Ovis aries: one gene and its partner. The protein of the gene in region 1 binds, or shares a complex with, the protein of each later gene. Links are inferred from orthologs where the notes say so. Each region holds a gene or a part of one and is shown in the gene's direction. Other genes may lie near its edges.

Region 1 (5,814 bases):
CTTAGCACATTCTCCAGGGCTCTAGTTACCTGATCAGCACTGAAGTTGTTCAGAGACACATTCTTCTCTTGGCCAAATGCTGAGGAGACAGAAAGATTATTAATTATTCATTCTGCACTGTACAGGCTACCAAAGTAGTCTTCCACTTACACTCTTGGTAGGATATGAAGGGTAGTAAAGAGATATGACCAAAATGTATTTGACATGCCTAGAATTTATCCAGTGGGTCTCTAACATATCTCGGAAGCCCAGGTCTAAGTAGAATTTTGGCTCATTCTGGGTGGTCATAATGGGAAGGAAAGTGTTTCAGGGAAGTTTTAAGGGGCATGGTAGCACTGAGTATTAATCACTGTCAGCAGAGTATTACATGGGCCTGCCTCTTAATTGTGCCCTTTTAATGGCTCCTATAGTTCATTAACTAAAGTTATTTGTGTGTCCATCTCCTCTAGTCTACTAGCTTTCAGAAGGAAAATTTTTTTCCTGCAAACAACTTAGTGCATGGCAAACTGCAGTTAGCTGCACTGTTAAAACCAATCTGCCCTGGGTGTGACTCTCTGCCTTCCCCCAGACATTCCTAGGGCAAAGTGTAATTAAAAGCTGTGATTAAAAATACCATTATTCAGTGAGTGAAAGTGAAGTCGCTTAGTCGTGTCTGACTCTGCGACCCCATGGACTGTAGCCTGGCAGGCTCCTCCGTCCATGAAATTTTCCAGGCAAGAATACTGGGGTGGGTTGCCATTTCCTTCTCCAGGGGGTCTGCCGGACCCAGGGATCGAACTTTGGTGTCTCATATTGCAGGCAGACTCTTTACCGTCTGAGCCACCAGGGAAGCCCAATTATTCAGTAAGTATGAATATTTATTGTGTCTCTATGTTCAGGCAACATCAGAGTAGTTTTCAAATTGTGGTAAAATGACACAGGTAGTATGTTAATAAACACTTGGTAAAATGAAACAGGGTAAAGAGGCAATGTTACATAACTGGTCAGGGAATGCCTTTTTGAGGAGGTGATATCGAAATTCAGACCTACAAGATTACCTGAATTGTAACCTGAAAAGCCAGCTACTTAAGTCTGGCAGAAGTGCAATCTAGGATTGGGGAACAAATGTAAAAGCTCAACCGTGTTATGCATCTTAGCTGAAAAACGTTAGGTATGTTCCATACAATTGTTCATTCAGCGTTTTAATCTCTACAAGATGAGAAAAAGGAATCCACCCCTTATATACTTAAGGTTCAAGAGATTTGGAAAGGAAAGCACTCAACACAGGCAACCTGAAGCCTGTTCTGAACTACAAAAACGATTCCTATGCAGGGCAGGGCCTGTCTCCACCTGTTACTTGGATACAAACACTCTGTAACTCTGCGAATGTATATTTCCTTATTTGCAACAAGATCAATAGCAAAGCTGAAGTCTGAGTCCCAGTCCCTGTGTAGGTTTCTGTGTGACCTTGGGCAGCTCTTTCTCTTTTCGAACCTTTGTTCCCCCTCCGGGGTCTCTGGTTCCCTGCGTCCCGCGCTCACCGTAGCGGGCCCAGAGCTTGGGCTGCACATCGGAGCACTCGCGGATTAGGATGGGCAGGTCGGGATTCGCTTTCTTCAGCTCCACATAGCGTTTCTCAATGAAGTCCCTGCGGGGCAGGAGAGAGCACCGCGCGTGCGGTGTGGGCACGGGCCTCTCCAGACACCCGGGAGGTCGAGGTCATGACCCTGGCGCCCCGAAGCCCACCCGCCTCACTGGGCCGCGCCTCACCTGACGCCCTGGCTGCCGGGCGAGCGCTGGCACAAATGGATACGAATTTCACGAAGGCCCAGTTTGCCTCTGACTCCGCGAATCGCTGCAGCCGCCGCCATCTCGGCTAGTACTCAATCATCCACCCTAGACCTTCCGGCCAAGTAATCCTATCAAATCAGCTTTGGACGCTCCAGCCCCGTGATAGGTTGGTGTACGCAAAGGGCGGGGTCACGCTTAGCCAATGCCATAAAAGCATTGCCAGTCAACGCCTGCTCTGATTTCTCCGCCCGCGGCCGAGACGGAAAAGCTGGGGCCCGAAAGGAATTGTGGGCGGTCTCCTGAGGTGCATTGTGGGGAGGTTCCTGTAGCTTTGTGTTGTTACAGGATCCTCGGTCGTTGTTGGGGTTGAAAAACTGCGGACGAAATGCCGGAGCGAGATAGTAAGGCTCGGGTCATCTCTCCTTTTTTCCACGCGGGACTCGGGACATGTGGCGTGTTATTTTGGCCTCAGAATTTAAGCCGTGTATGTGGGGGGTGGGGCGGAGTGGAGGCGGGCCGGGAGTGTGACGCTTGGACCCTGGCGAAGCACTTGGGCCCTGAACGAGGCCGGGAAATTCCAGATTGTCCCTAAATCTTGTTCTTGTCCCAGCGCACGACAGATAAGATTTATCTGTGAGCCTCCCCCAACCCCTGTCACTTAATTTTCAGTTACGTCAGTTTATCTTTTGCGTAGTATCTTAGATGTCATGTTCGGGATTTCTTGGCTGATCCTCCAGCCTGGTTTTAGGGGTCCTGTCCTCTGCGCTCCCGTAGCTCCTTGTATTTTTTGCTTTAGCATTTTTTACATTGTATTGTCAGTGTCGCTGTTCTTGACTTTTTTCCCCACTAGATTGTGAGCAAGTTGACAGGAAAAGACATCTGTGTATTGTTCACTACTGAATCCCCAACTTTTGCACAGGACCTGACTCTAAAGAGATTTATTAAATTAATATCAATTCTTTTTCTTAGGCGAACCATTCTCCAATCCCTTGGCTCCAGATGGCCACGATGTGGACGATCCTCACTCCTTCCACCAGTGAGTGTTTTGACGTAGAACCATGGGAATGAGCTGGGGAATGAGCGAAGTGGTGGTGGTGACAGTGAAATAATTCTGAATGTCTTGTCACTAAGAATGGTCAGAGAATCATACCTCTTGCCCTGTTACCTCTGTGAACTTTAACTGGGTCAGGCCAACTGCATAAAAGTGTTAGAGGGGAAATAATGACAGAGTGAGTGCTAATTTTTTTAAATTCATGTTTAATTTTGCATTATTTAGGAATTAATTTTTGTATAAAATTAAAACATCAGAATGAAGTCAATGTTGTCTTCGATAACATTCCCAATTTCATTCCCTTTTTTAGAGGTAGCCATTTTACCTGTTTTACACATATCTTTTTTGCTACTCTTTTTAAATGCATTTATACACATGCATTTATATCTCAGTAAAATATTGCCTTGTGAGTTAAAATATTAAAATTAAGTGATGTTACATTGTGTGTATATAATTTTGCCATCTGATGATCTTCCCTTCTCAATATCTTAGTCCTTATTTTCATGGCAGTGACAAGGACTTCTTTTTTTTTTTAAGTTTGTCTTTTGTTAGTTTCATTTGCAGATCTCTGGTGCAGAATATATATATAAGTATAAGAGGGTAGAGGGAAAGTTTTTCCTGTTCTACTTGTTATCTACATACTTGTTGACGTCAAGTATACTAATAGCCAGTCCTACTTGGTTCTTGTTCTGGCTCAGCAGCAACAGAAACCAACCCTTACCCTTAGTGTGATACTCAGCTTCATCTTCCTCCCTGGCAAGATACCCTGCCTTCATCTTCCCTCACAGCCTGTCCTTTGGCTTTCTCTTAGCTCAAGCCTTGTCTCATCAATGTCCCTCCAGGTGTGAGCGTGGATCCCCAGACTATGGGGCAGGGAGAGGCGTGTGAGGTTCATGTAGTAAGTGTCCAGGTGGCTGGAGCTAGACTGCTACACAGTACACACAGAAGTGATTCCATCCCGGTGCCACCAGCTGTGATGGCTATACATCCCCCACATAGGTTTCTAAAATGCTGGTGGATTAGGGCCAGGGTTCATACCCCAAAATCCCACCCTCAGAACTCTATAGTATGGGATAGCTATGTCCTAGTGACCCCAAGTGGAAATGTAGTCAGCCCCGAAGTAGGGATGCACACCTCTGCTGAAAGACTCCCTTCTTGACCAAACTCTAGTCAGGCTTCTGCAGGCCTTATATTTTTTTCCAGGTCTCCTGAACCCAATTTTAGCAAAGAATTCTGTTAGGGTATGGAGAATACCATCCATCCATCAATCAGTCAATGAGATCCAGTCACTCCTCTTGCTAATCTAATCAAATTCATCTTCCACTTTGATGTCTGAGTAATTTTCCATAAATTCCCTATTGTCTCTGTTGTATTCAGAGTTGAATTTTGATCCTTATCCCCTTTTGCAATAGTCTTAATTTGTATTTTGGTAGTGTTGAAGAGTCATTTTGGGGGAGACCTAGCAGGATTCTTCGCTACAGTGGGCTCAGCAGGCCAAGGAAGAGGCCTGCTCTGAAGAGAGTTTAAAGGAAACTTGAGTTTGGTCACTGTATCAGTTAAAATTACATCTTATACTATCAGTGCTATGTTCTCCACATTTGGGAAATACTGTCACAGTTTATTTGTTAATAGTCTCCAGTGAGAGTTTAGGTCCTTCCCAAGTTTTTATTATTTTCGAAACTGTAATTAGATCTCTTTCACAGGCCTTATACACATAATGCCAGTAATTGACCAGGTTAAATACAGTTGAATGGAGTTGCTCCATCATAGGATATTACACATTTAAATTTTAAGAAAGATACTGGCAAATCATCCTCCTAGTTATCAGTGCTGATTTACATTCGTGTCGGTGATAAGAGAATATCCACTTCCCATATTCTCACTCATTCTTGACTTATCAAACTTTTTAATCATTAGCACTGATGCATTAAAAAAGGCATGTCTTTGTTTTAATTTGTATTTGCCTGATTTCTAGTAAAGTGAACCATATTTTTTACATATTCCTTTTCCAATTCTCATCGGGTACTAATTTGTAAAAATTTTTGCCCTTTAGATCAAAACTCACTAATGAAGACTTCAGGAAACTTCTCATGACCCCAAGGGCTGCACCTACCTCTGCACCACCCTCTAAGTCACGTCACCATGAGTAAGTTCTGGGTTGATCCAATCTGTGTTCTGACTATTTCCTATGGAAAATTTATTGAACTAGATGTCTTAGGAACTTGAAAGCACCCCCTCCCCGTTTTTTTTTTAAGTCCATGGTTTTGATTCCCTCCCTCTTGAGATTGAAGCTCCAGGAAAGACTGGGATGCTCTAGGGATCTCAGTTTTTCTCAGAGTATGTTCCACGGACCATTTGTTGGACCAACTAGAGTTGCTCCTGTGCTTAAATAAGATTTCTGGATCCATTCCAGCCCCACAGACTCAGATTCTAGGGCAGATGTTTGGGTATATATAATTTTAGTAGTCCTTCAGATGTTTGTGATGCTTTCTAAAATTTGAGAACGACTCACCTACAAATATTGACCTGGATCTCTGCCTGATTAAAACTGACAGTTTTTGCTTTGGTCTGTATTCTAGGCTTTTCTTTAATTCTCAAGGGCACTTCTTGGGGTTTCTGGTGCTGTGGCAATATTTTGCTATCCATGAATTTCTTTTTTTGCTAGGATGCCAAGAGAGTACAATGAGGATGAAGATCCAGCTGCACGAAGGAGAAAAAAGAAAAGGTAAAGGAAGGTGGAGGAGTATTGGGTTTTGTGGTGGATGGTGTTTGGGGGTAAGGAATAGGGGCTAGTTAGGAGCCAAGAGATTGAGGTTTTCCTTTCTTGTCTTGAGGTTCTCTGCTTTCATAGTGGAGAGGAATGATACTTAGAATGGCAGTTTATTTGGCAGTTTAGGGCTTTGGAGCCACCTTGCGGTGTTTTAATCTCGTCTTTACCAGTTTCTTGCTGGGTATTGTTGGGCATTTTGCTCAACGTCTCTAATCTTCAATAT
Region 2 (4,178 bases), on another chromosome or scaffold:
CCTCGGGATAGCATAATTTTGGAGCTGATAAATTTACAATACAAATTTCTATCAACTCTATTTTTACAGTCCTTCGTAGCTCAAAACTTGTGTCCTGCACTGTTCTTTGATTGAGACTTGCCCAATTTTATTTCTTCTCCCAGCTGAGGCCCAACTGTAGAACAGGTGAAACCACTTGAGAAGTAATGCTACTAACAGTACCTTCAGGAAAGTTCCCTTCAGCAATTTTTCACTCCTGGACTCAAAAATTACTGATAAAATCACTTTTCACAGCGCCTGATATATGCCATATTTCTGGACTTCAAGACTTTGCTCACATTGTCCCTTCTCTCCGTACACAGCAGTTATAAAATCTTTTCTACAGCGTTCTGCCAACTAGCCTGTTTTTTGTTTTTGTTTTTAAACACGATCCACCTAGAAAATGGGGGCTATTTGTTCCTATTCTATTATAAACCCTTTCGGTTCAGTTCAGTCGCTCAGTCGTATCCGACTGTTTGCGACCCCATGAATTGCAGCACGCCAGGCCTCCCATTGCTGCTGCTGTTGCTAAGTCACTTCAGTCGTGTCCGACTCTGTGCGACCCCATGGACTGCAGCCTACCAGGCTTCTCCATCCATGGGATTTTCCAGGCAAAGAGTACTGGAGTGGGGTGGCATTGCCTTCTCCGGGCCTCCCATTAAGACTTACTAAATAAAATTCAAGTTCCTGGAGGACACGAGCCTTTTAACAATATTCCATACTCCTTAGAGAGATCTAAGTGATGTAAACACCAGTGCTTAATAATTACTTACGGACTCATATACAAACACTCCAGCCAGGAATATGTTATAATAGGCAGTCTCCAGAAACGGACAGAACTGGAACGCTTAATAGTGTTCGGATCTCAGACACTATTCTAAGCTGCTTGGGGGATTTTTTTTTTCTTGCCACTGGCCTAAATTACCACCACTTGCCCTCAAGTGACCAAAAAATACCTCACCACAATCCGCTCAGCCTCATCAACTGAGCTAATCAAGTGCTGTTAACGGGATTTCTATTCCGATTAAACTCTGAGCTTTCAAATTTGACAATCTTTACAAACTGCAGTTCATTATCTCCTGAGTTTCATTATTCATCACTACCCTGTAATAGTCGGGTTTAGACCAACCTAACGAACAAAACCTTTACTTGAGACTTCCCTCGTCGCAGGGTCTTAACAGCAAATCCCAGTGGAACCAACTTCCCGCGGGGAAGACGCGTACAAGCACTGCGAGACTGAGAACACCGGGGCAGCCTATGGACATGCGCAGTAACAGACTCCACCTTCTAGTCGTAGGCGTCTAGAAGTCCTCCACAATCCCACAATCCTCTGGTCGTATACTTCCGGTTTTTCTAGCTCAGTCGAAGGTGGTGTTTCTATCAGTCGCGGAGCAGTTTCAAGTGGTCCTAGGAGGAGAGGGTTTTATCTGTTCGTTGACGTTGTAGCTGTTCACTTTGAAATCAGTCGAGTTTCGGGAGTCACCGCCGCTGTCGTCAACATGTCGGTCCCAAGCTCACTCATGAAACAACCGCCCATTCAGTCAACGGCTGGGGCCGTCCCGGTTCGCAATGAGAAAGGTACTGTGTTGAGCGGTTTTCCAGTCGGATCTTATCTCTTTCGTCAGGATATTCCAAACTTACCCCGGGTCCACCACCTTATCCCCAGAGATCCTTAAGACCCTGCCCCTATTTCTTCGACTTCCCCGTCAAACTCGGATCCGATCGCGTTGCTACTTAGAACTCATCTCCTTAGTAGAACCTGTGTGCTCTCTCGTCCACCAATAAGTTAAGCTAATATAGTGAATGCCTGCTATTTGCATGGCTTTGTGTAGCATACATTTTGTTGTCCATTGTCTGTTTATGGTGCTTTTATAACTCGTATGATTGTAATTACTTGTCCACCTCCGTCTACTACATCGTAAATCAATAACCTATTTGAGGCAAGAACTCTATCTTAAAACTTTTTATCCCTTTCAGCCATCGCAGTGACTGTATTTGTTACATTGAATACAAAATGGTGTAAAACAGTGGTGTAAGGAACTCATAGTCTGTAGATGTGAGACATGCAAAAAAGAGGCACATTCTGAACAAATTTATGGTCTTTCCCACCTATAAAACCTGTCACATAGGTGATATAAACGAAATGCTTTGGGAGGACAGAGAAGGAATAATCTCTTCAGATTGGAATATTTAACTTGATCTTTAAAGGATGGGTAGGATTCTAATGAGTGCAGATGGACGAAGGAAAACTGTACTTGTTTGGGGAGTCAGACTGAAAGTCTGAGTTTTTTCAGTAAAGTATTTGGAAAATAATGTCAGTTCTTTTTATCTTTTAAATATACAGTATCTATCTTTGTGCATTCTGCCTTTTGTTGTTGTTTTTTCCTTAAGTCAGCATGACTTTGGTAAGTGTCCTTTGGATACCTGAAGATCTCATTCATTCACTTTAACTGCTTGTTTCGTCGCTAAGTCCTGTCTGACTCTGGGACTCCATGGGACTGTAACCCACCAGGTTCCTCTGTCCTTGGGATTTCCCAGGCAAGATTACTGGAGTGGGTTACCATTTCCTTCTCCAGGGGATCTTCCCTACCCAGGGATAGAACTGGTGTCTCCTTCATTGGCAGGTGGATTCTTAACCTCTGAGCCACCAGGGAAGCCCCTTTACCTGCTTATAAGTTCCATTGTATAATTAAACCACAGTTTGATCCCTGTTGAGGGACATTTAGTTGTCATTTTGTTACTTTTTTCCCTTTTACAAATAGTGCTTAAATATGTCTCTTTAGTGCACTTGTGTAAAAATTTCTACTAGGGTAGTGTGAATCTACGTTGACACATCATTTATCATTCAGTCCGTAGTTTGCATTAAGATTCACTCTGATGTACATTCTATGGATTTGAACAAATGTATCGGGATATATATCCATCATTATGGTATCACACAGTATTTTCACTTAGTAATATGCATTTTAAGTTTCCTGCATGTATTTTCATGGCTTGATAGCTCTTTTTGTTTTGTTGTTGCTGAGTAATATTCCATCATCTGGATGTACCATAGTTTACTTATCCATTCACCTCTGTGAAGGACAGCTTGGTTGCTTACAAGTTTTGGCAATTATGAACAAAGCTACAATCGATATCCATGTGCGGGTTTTTGTGTTTTGCTCCTTTGTATAAATACCAAAGAGCGGAAATGAGATCATATGGTAAGAGTATGCTTAGTTTTGTATGAAACCACCAAACCATCTTCCAAAGTGGTTGTGCCATTTTGCACTCCCACCCACAATAAATCAGAGTTCCTGTTGCTCCACATTCTTACCAGCATTTGGTATTGTCAGAGCTCTAGATTTTGGCCATTCTGTGTGTAGCAACATCTCATTGTTGTTTTTTTTTTTTTAATTTGCATTCCCTGAAGACATATAAGGGCTTCCCAGGTGGCTCAGTGGTTTAAAAAAATTACTGCCAATGAAGAAAACAAAGGTTTGATCCCTTGGTGAGGAAGAGGCCCTGGAGGAGGAAATGGCAGCTCACTCCAGTATTCTTGCCTGGAGAATCCCCATGGACAGAGGAGCCTGGCGGGCTACAGTCCATGGGGTCGCAGAGTCGGACACGACTAAGCCACAGAGCATGCACGAAGACACAAAATGTGGACCATCTTTTCACATACTTATTTGCCATCTGTATATCTTCTTTGGCAAGGTGTCTGTTAAGGTCTTTTACCTCACCTTGTTCTTCAGAATTGTCTTGGCTCTTTTTGACCTCCTGTTCTTCCATATGATTTTAGAATCAGCCTGAGAACAGCTTTTAATGAAATTACATTAAAATTATAGAGCACAGGTCAGTTCAGTCGCTCAGTCGTGTCCGACTCTTTGCAACCCCATGAATCACAGCACGCCAGGCTTCCCTGTCCATCACCATCTCCTGGCGTTCACTCAGACTCATGTCCATCAAGTCCGTGATGCCATCCAGCCATCTCATCCTCTGTCGTCCCCTTCTCCTCCTGCCCCCAATCCCTCCCAGCATCAGAGTCTTTTCCAATGAGTCAGCTCTTCACATGAGGTGGCCAAAGTACTGGAGCTTCAGCTTTAGCATCATTCCTTCCAAAAGAAATCCCAGGGCTGATCTCCTTCAGAATGGACTGGTTGGATCTCCTTGCAGTCCAA

The links.
Region 2: IK (region 1) and MFAP1 share a complex: the UniProt entries of both Homo sapiens proteins name them as parts of the spliceosome B complex. The link is inferred for Ovis aries from reciprocal best matches to the Homo sapiens genes IK and MFAP1.

The regions. Positions count from the first base shown.
Region 1 is NC_056058.1:49,441,022-49,446,835, forward strand, and holds the start of IK (protein Red), read left to right. Parts: upstream 1-2,059; 5' UTR 2,060-2,155; coding exon 2,156-2,171; intron 2,172-2,739; coding exon 2,740-2,806; intron 2,807-4,874; coding exon 4,875-4,967; intron 4,968-5,486; coding exon 5,487-5,546; intron 5,547-5,814. Other genes in the region: NDUFA2 (NADH dehydrogenase [ubiquinone] 1 alpha subcomplex subunit 2), read right to left, coding at 1,393-1,627, 1,750-1,850. UniProt on the Homo sapiens protein: Involved in pre-mRNA splicing as a component of the spliceosome. Auxiliary spliceosomal protein that regulates selection of alternative splice sites in a small set of target pre-mRNA species. Required for normal mitotic cell cycle progression.
Region 2 is NC_056071.1:53,265,322-53,269,499, reverse strand, and holds the start of MFAP1 (microfibrillar-associated protein 1), read left to right. Parts: upstream 1-1,378; 5' UTR 1,379-1,517; coding exon 1,518-1,596; intron 1,597-4,178. UniProt on the Homo sapiens protein: Involved in pre-mRNA splicing as a component of the spliceosome.